Linked DNA regions of Oryctolagus cuniculus. The protein of the gene in region 1 interacts with the protein of each later gene in a pairwise test. Links are inferred from orthologs where the notes say so. Each region holds a gene or a part of one and is shown on either strand. Other genes may lie near its edges.

What was found. The genes of interacting proteins can lie anywhere in the genome.
Region 2: the proteins of NDUFAF3 (region 1) and NDUFAF4 interact in binary tests that used the Homo sapiens proteins (3 or more experiments, as listed by UniProt). The two-hybrid records come from large-scale screens. The link is inferred for Oryctolagus cuniculus from reciprocal best matches to the Homo sapiens genes NDUFAF3 and NDUFAF4.

The regions. Positions count from the first base shown.
Region 1 is NC_091441.1:100,132,547-100,136,019, reverse strand, and holds NDUFAF3 (NADH dehydrogenase [ubiquinone] 1 alpha subcomplex assembly factor 3), read left to right. Parts: upstream 1-1,504; 5' UTR 1,505-1,925; coding exon 1,926-1,993; intron 1,994-2,067; coding exon 2,068-2,260; intron 2,261-2,390; coding exon 2,391-2,457; intron 2,458-2,572; coding exon 2,573-2,673; intron 2,674-2,753; coding exon 2,754-2,870; 3' UTR 2,871-2,952; downstream 2,953-3,473. UniProt on the Homo sapiens protein: Essential factor for the assembly of mitochondrial NADH:ubiquinone oxidoreductase complex (complex I).
Region 2 is NC_091436.1:75,154,965-75,159,164, forward strand, and holds the start of NDUFAF4 (NADH dehydrogenase [ubiquinone] 1 alpha subcomplex assembly factor 4), read left to right. Parts: upstream 1-1,371; 5' UTR 1,372-1,483; coding exon 1,484-1,619; intron 1,620-2,093; coding exon 2,094-2,197; intron 2,198-4,200. UniProt on the Homo sapiens protein: Involved in the assembly of mitochondrial NADH:ubiquinone oxidoreductase complex (complex I). May be involved in cell proliferation and survival of hormone-dependent tumor cells. May be a regulator of breast tumor cell invasion.

The DNA.
Region 1 (3,473 bases):
TGGGCAGGAAAGGCCGGGCAAGGCTCCTTCCTCAAGGGCCGGGCGGTCAGGCCCTGCTGAGAGGCGCCGAAAGAGCACTGGGCGGACACGACATTCCCGATGGCTTCCTGGGTGCCCACTCAACGGGAGTGATCGTGTCATTCCAAAGCGCTTTCCATGCCGAGAGCTCACGACTCACAGGCAGCGACCGGCGAGGCTGGGGGCCCAGGATCGAACCGGGGACTTCAGTTACTCTCCGTCCACAAAGACGGTTGGGGTGGTTTCTCCCCAGGAAGTGGAGGGCTATCTTTAGTGAGCTGCGGGCTGAGGCGGCCCTGGGGGACTCACCAGGGCCACTCACTCATCCCTCTTCCTTGCAAGGCCTAACCGGAGGCCCCAGCCCCAGCTCTCCCGCTTCTAGCCCGCACCCGAGAGACGGACGGAGACCAGGGCCCCCCAGCGCGGTGTGTCTGGGGGGTGTCAGGGGCTACCCAACCTGGGCCTGGGCGCTGCTCAGGCAGGAAAGCAGGGAACGAAATCCAAGCGCAGCTGGAATGCTCTGGAGACAACAGCTGCTTTTGGGATTCCGTTGCCCGCTGTCCAGCCGTTGGAGTGGGGCTCCTGCCCCCAGGTCACTCACCCTAGGGCCAATCCAGAACCCGCCCATCCTACGTCCCAGGAGGCGGACCTGGGAGACAGTGAAACCGAGTCCAGTGGGAACGAGGCGCTCACCTGGGCCCCAGAACAATAGCAGGGAAGGACCGGGCCTCCCCTGGGATCGGGTCCCGATCCGGATTAGATCCGAGGGCAGGATTAGCCCTGTTGGTCCCACGCAGCCCGGGGCCACTGGTGCGGTGACGCCGGGAGGGCGGGTTTCAGAATCTGCCAAGAGGGAAGCGCGGGGCCAGGGAGGAAGTGAGCCCGCGCGTCCGCCTTGGGGACACCCCCGCGCTCGGGGCCCTTTGTCCGGTGACGCTGCCAGCGCCCAGGAGCGCCAGGAGCCGACCGGGCCCACACAGCGATGGCGGGACCCCCGGCAGGCCACTGCGACCGCTCCTGGGACTCTCGCCGCCCAGGCCCCTACTGTGCCGACCCTCTCCCGCCCGCCCGGCCGGCCGGCCCCACGGCTAGCGAACGCGACAAGGTTCCCCCGAGGCTAAGACGGAGCCGGCGCGCGGAGATGCCCAAACCCGGCGCGGGCGCCACCACTCGCTCCTGTAGGCCCTTGATGCGGATCGAGACGGGGTGCGGGGCAACCTCGGGAAGCGAGCGGAGTGAGCGAGGACACGACGATGCTCCGGGCGCTGTCTAGTTCAAGTCTGGTCCGGCTCGGCCCGGCCGCTCCCCACCGAGCAGGCTCAGCAACACTAAAACGCCGTGCCCTTCCGCTGGCTCCGGCTGCCCCGCAGACTTGGAGCCATTTTATGGCGAAACTGCCTGGCCACGCCCCCTCGCGCTCTCGCGAAGCCAATCCCCGCGCGGCCACGCCCCCCGCAGCGTGCGGCGCCGCCGCTAACGGTCGCGCGGGTGACGGTTGGGGAGGGGCGTGGCTGCGAGTCTGGCCGGGGAAACCTGAGCCGTCCGCCCCGCCCACGGAGCCGGGCGCCCCAGAACCTGAGATTAGGGGCTTGGAGGTTGGCGCCACGCCCTGGCCAGGTGTGCAGGACCCGGCCAGGTGCGGCCCCGCCCCGCTCCGGGTCCCCGGAGCCCTGCGTCATGTCTGAGAGCCCGCACTACCAGGTGCCCGCACTCCCCTGGGACCGGCGGCCGGGGCGACAGGTGCGGACACGAGAGCCGCGCCGGGGACACGTGACGCCGGCGAGGGGGGCTGGCAGAGCCGCGACGCGCCCTCCGGACCGCAGGAGGCGCTGTAGTCTCGGCGGACCAGGCCTCGCCGCGACCCCAGCGGTCCTGCGTCCGACCCGCTCGCGGCGTGCGGGGCAGCCATGGCCGCCGCTGTCGCGCTGCGCTGCCTGTCCCGAGTGAAACCCACGCCGCGCTGTCCGCTGCCATGGTGAGCCCAGGCCCCACGCCCCCGAGCACGCTGCCCGCCAGGGCCAGCGGCCCCCTGACCCTCCGCCTCCGCAGGGCACCGCGGCGTGGGCACCGGCTCTCGCCGGCGGATGACGAGTTGTATCAGCGGACGCGCATCTCTCTGCTGCAGCGCGAGTCCCCGCACGTCATGTACATCGACAGCTACAGCAGCCGCGGCTTCACGGTCAACGGCAACCGCGTGCTCGGACCGTGCGCGCTGCTCCCGCACTCGGTGGTGCAGTGGAACGTGAGCCTTGCCCCGCACGCCCGCCGGTGTCCCTGGCTAACTGGGCTCGTCCCTGTGGCCCCGGAGTGGAGCTGGGGAGAGAGGGAGGCTGCGGCTTCGTCTGTCCTGAACCCGCCTCCTCCCCGCACAGGTGGGATCCCACCAGGACATCACTGAAGAGAGCTTCTCCCTCTTCTGGATGCTGGAGCCCCGGATAGGTACGGGGGGAGGGGGGGTGCGGAGGTCTGAGCGCTCCGAGCCCCCGGAAAGCCACCCGCACCCCAGCTTCACAGCAGACCCGGTTGTGGACGAGCCACGCCCTGCCTTCCCTAGAGATTGTGGTGGTGGGGACCGGAAACCGGACCGAGCGGCTGCAGCCCGAGGTACTGCGAGCCATGAGGCGGCGGGGCATCGCCGTGGAGGTGCAGGACACGGTGAGTGCCGGCCCCGGGGCGCGCTGCGGCGGGGCTCGGGCCTTGCCCTGGCCAGGCTGATGCCGGCCTTTTCTCTACAGCCCAATGCCTGCGCTACTTTCAACTTCCTGTGTCACGAAGGCCGGGTGACGGGAGCCGCTCTCATCCCCCCGCCTGGAGAGACTTCTGTGCTGCCTCTGGGCCAAGCTGCAGAGTGAACCGCCGGGAACCGAAGCACCTCCCCTCCCCGAGGGCCCTGGTCCTCCCCCTTCGGCACTAAAGCCCTTGATTTGCTTGCTAGCGTATGAGTAATTTATACCCCCATTTTGTATCAGGTGTGTTGCTGGCCAGGGATCGATGGCTACGTGGGTTTCAGTTGGCGTGTGTGTGAGGAAACCGGAGGCTAGAAGGCCTTGTTTTGTTCTAGACCTTTTAAAAAAGAGCTTATTTGAAAGGCAGAATCAGGGAGAGGCGTAGTCCATCCGCTGGTTCACTCCTCAAATGACTGGAAGGGCCAGGGCTGGGCCCCACTGAAGCCAGGTGCCCAGATCTCCATCCAGGTCCCCAGCACTGGTGGAGGGACAGCGCTCCCAGGCACATCAACATGACAGAAGAACAGCGTGCATCATGGGACGCCTGCGTGACAGGCAGCAACTTGACCTGCTGCAAGGCCTCTGCAGATCTGAGGGGAGGGACCCCAGTGGCTTTGTGTTCAAGATCCTTCCGGCTCCAGAGCTGCCAGGGAACGCCCTTTAAGATCTTTGAGGAAATTTATTAAGGCCTGATACATGGGGGTCCCTGGACGGGAGGGTGTCCCATGT
Region 2 (4,200 bases), on another chromosome or scaffold:
CTTAAAACTGTCTCTTTGATTCTTATTTTTTCACTGCTTTGACTCAATTATCTCTCTTTTTAAAAGATATTTATTTATTTGAAAGGCAGAGAGAAAGAGAAAGAGAGAGAGAGAGAAGAGAGAGAGAGAGAGAGAGAGTATGAATGAAGCCAGGAACTAAGAAATCCATCCAGGTCTCTTACATGGGTGGCAGGGGCCCAGTACTTGGGCCATCTTCCACTGCTTTCCCAGGCGCATTAGAAGTTGGTTGGGAAGTGGAGCAGCCAAAACTTGAAATGGGGCTCTGATAGGGCATGCTGGCATTGGAAGCAGCAACTTAATCTGCTGTGCCCCAATGCTGGTCCCGATTCAATTAACATCAATTCTCTTCTCACTTTAAATTGGCCAAAAACAATCCATCTACCTTATTTCATGAAGCAGAGCTGAGAATACCAAAACCAGGTTTTGTTTTGCTATTCTCAAATACCAAATATTTTAACTTTAGATACACTACTGCTTTCTTCCTGGTGGATTTCTTTTATTGTGGATTAATCACAATATTTCCCAAGAATCTTAAATAAAAGCAGCACTATTGTACCAGAAATGGAAAGGAGAGAAAGAAATGGATGGATAGAGGGAAGGACACACACACACATACACACACACAGAGAGAGAGAGAGAGAGAGAGAGAGAGAATATGAATCTAACACTCAGTTTTCCCTAGCCCTGTACGGGCTGTTTCTTTCATTAAGTTACACAGAGTTCTCCCAGAAGTACATAAAATGAGAGAGGCAGACGAAAGAAGAAACATTGGAGAAAAATTAGGAGACTCAGTATTTAATAGTATGGAGAAATAAATTAGTAACAAAAATACAGAGGGCAAAGAAAACATACACTAAAATCAATAGCTTTAGGTCAAATGAGTTATGAGAGTAGGATGTGAAATCTAATGGAAAAAGGGAATATGGTGGCTGGAAATGCATCAGGCAACGGGACAGGAAATGAAGAATGGCCCAGAATATTCATCAAGAATGAATATCCCTACATTATTTTTCTTCAAAATCAATTTCCTCATGACTTTGATTTTCAGTTCTTGACTGCAATATTGGAATCACGTGGGAAATCCTAACTAACGCCAGGGCTCAATGTGAGAGTTAAATAAGTTAAATAAATAAATAAATCTGAGAGTTATAAGTCTGGAGTGGTGCCTAGCATGAAATTGTGTTTTATCTTCTTCCGTGACTCCACGGGCTCCAACGTTGAAAACCTGGCCTTAGGCCCCACCCCCGAGTGTCCCGGGGAGGAGCCACTCCCTTTGAAACGATGGAGCCTGAAACGCGCTGTGTGGCCTCCAGACCACGAGAGGGCGATGAGCGCACATTTAGCACTCGCTTCCCGGCCCGCTCGACGCTATACGTGCGCATGCTCCGTGCGCTCCAGAGGTCGTCCGCGCCGGTGTTTTCCCACGTGCGCAGTGAAGCTAAGGACATCATGTCCTAAAGAGATGGGGGCTCAGGTGGTTCGGGCGATCAGGAATTTCAACCTGGAGAACCGAGCGGAACGGGAAATCAGCAAGATGAAGCCCTCTCCCGCTCCCAAGCACCCCTCCACCAAGAGTCTTCTCAGAGAACACTTGAGCCGTGAGTGGCGCGGGGGCGCGTCGGGGCGCGGGGTCCCGGTGCGGCCGGCCGGGCTGTTCCGCCCGGGGACCTGGATCCGCAGGTCCGCCTGCTCGGCCACAGCGGCTCGGGTGGGCAGGGCGCGGGACGGTGGAGGCGCCGGGTCGGTGACATTGACGCTGTCCTCGCCCGGGGGCGGGAGACCGGCGAGGACAGTCCCTGGCCGGCCTTGGTGGTTCATGCGTGGCGACTGGGTACAGAGAATCCAAGGGAGCAGGGGGCCGCGTGCAGCCAGGTCTGCTGCAGGTGTCTTCCCAGAACGAAGGACGCCGGGCCCTGAGGGCCTAGTGTTTTGACGTCGATTTAAAAGGTTTCCTGAACTGCCCAAAGATTGTTTATTAAAAAGAAGTTGAAGTGACTGTTTTGTGTGCTTTTAGAATCTGAGGGAGTTCTCGCCTTTCATATATTGTGACTTTTCCTTCTCTTTCCACCCAGACCATCCAGAAATTAAGGGAGAAATTGCTAGAAAAGATGACAAGCTGCTGTCGTTACTAAAAGATGTGTATGTTGATTCCACAGATCCTGTGACTACCGTGCAGGTAATGTGTATTTAAAAAATTATTTGAAATGTAAATGTTTAGTTTTTACCTTCCGATGTGATTTGTAGATACAATTCTAAGAACTGAATGGTATTCCCCTCTTACTCTCTCCCTCCTTTCCTTTCTCCTTCTCTTTTTAGTTTTGAGATGACATTTTAAAATTACATTACAGTAAACAGTCTTAATACTTCACCAAATAAGTTTAACAAGTAAAAAGCAGAAAGACCCCAGTTTAGTAGGAATATAGACAATAGTTATAAACAATAATGGAAACATGACCATTTTACCCATTTACAGTAAATTTTAAGGTAATCACAGATCATTAAAACTGTAGTAGTATATAGAATTCTTAACCACTGGTTTGACAAAGGCATAAAACAAAGCTTTACAAAACTGTTTGCAACAATACTGATACACACATTTTTAAAAAAATGTAGCGCCCACATAAAAGGGAAAACATGCGGTATTTGTCTTTCTGGGTCCAGTTTATTTCACTCAACCTAATGTCCTCCAGTTGAGTCCATTTTGCTGCAGATGGTAGACTTTCATTCTGTTTTACGGCTGAATAATATTCCATTGTGTGTGTGTGTGTGTGTGTGTGTATACACATATACCACATTTTCTTTGTCCATTCATCTGATGATGGACACCTTAGTGGGTTCCAAATGCTGGCTGTTGTGGACAGCGCTGTGATAAACATGGTGGTGCAGGTATTACTGATACATTGTGTTCAGTCTTTTGGCTATAAGTCCAGTAGTGGGATTGCTGGATCATATGGCAGTTGTATTTCTAGTTTTTTAAGAAATCTCCACACTGTTTTTCACAAGGGCTGCACTAGTTGACATTCCCACCAGCAGTGTATAAGTTGTTCCCTTTTCTCCACATCCTCGCCACCATTTGTTATTGTCTTTTGGACTATAGCCTTTCTGGACAGGGGTTAGGTGATGTCTCATTGTGGTTTTGATTTTCATTTCTTTGATGGCTAGTGATGTTGAGCATTTTTCGTATATTTGTTGGTCAGTTGTGTTTCTTCTTTTGAGAACTATTGAAGTCCTTTGCCCATTTCATAACTGGATTGGTTGGTTTTTTGTTGTTGAGTTTTTAAGGTTGTTGATATGTTGGGGATATTAATTGTTTGTCAGACAGGTAGTTTGCATATATCTTTCCCACTCTGTTGAATGTGGCTTCACTCTATTGATCATTTCCTTTGCTGTGTATAAACTTTTTTTTTTTTTTTTTTTTTATCTTTTATTTAATGAATATAAATTTCCAAAGTACGACTCATGGGTTACAATGGCTTCCCCCCCCATACCGTCCCTCCCACCAACAACCCTCCCCTTTCCCACTCCCTCTCCCCTTCCATTCACATCAAGATTCATTTTCGATTATCTTAATATACAGAAGATCAGCTTAGTATACCTTAAGTAAGTATTTCAACAGTTTGCTCCCACACAGAAACATAAAGTGAAAAATAATAGATGATTTTTTTTAAATGATGATGAAATCAGATCAGACCTATTGTCATGTTTAATCCCAGTGAGAGTCAAGTTGGGAATTGAAAATTTCTTTCTTTTTTTTTTTTTTTTTTTTTTTTTTTTTTTTTTTTTACAGAAGATCAGTTTAGTGTACATTAAGTAAAGATTTCAGTCGTTTGCACCCCCATAGAAACACAAAGTGAAATATACTGTTTGAGTACTCGTTATAGCATTAAGCCTCAGTGTACAGCACGTTAAGGACCGAGATCCTACATGAGGAGTAAGTGCACAGTGACTCCTGTTGTTGACTTTACCAATTGACACTCCTGTTTATGGCATCAGTAATCTCCCTATGCACCAGTCATGAGTTTCCAAGGCTATGGAAGCCCCTTGAGTTCTCCGACTCTTATCTTGTTTAGACACGGTCATAGTCAAAGTGGAGGTTCTCTCCTCCCTTCAGAGAAAGGCACCTCCCTCTTTGAAGACCTGTTCTTTCCACTGGGATCTCACTCACAGAGATCTTTTTGC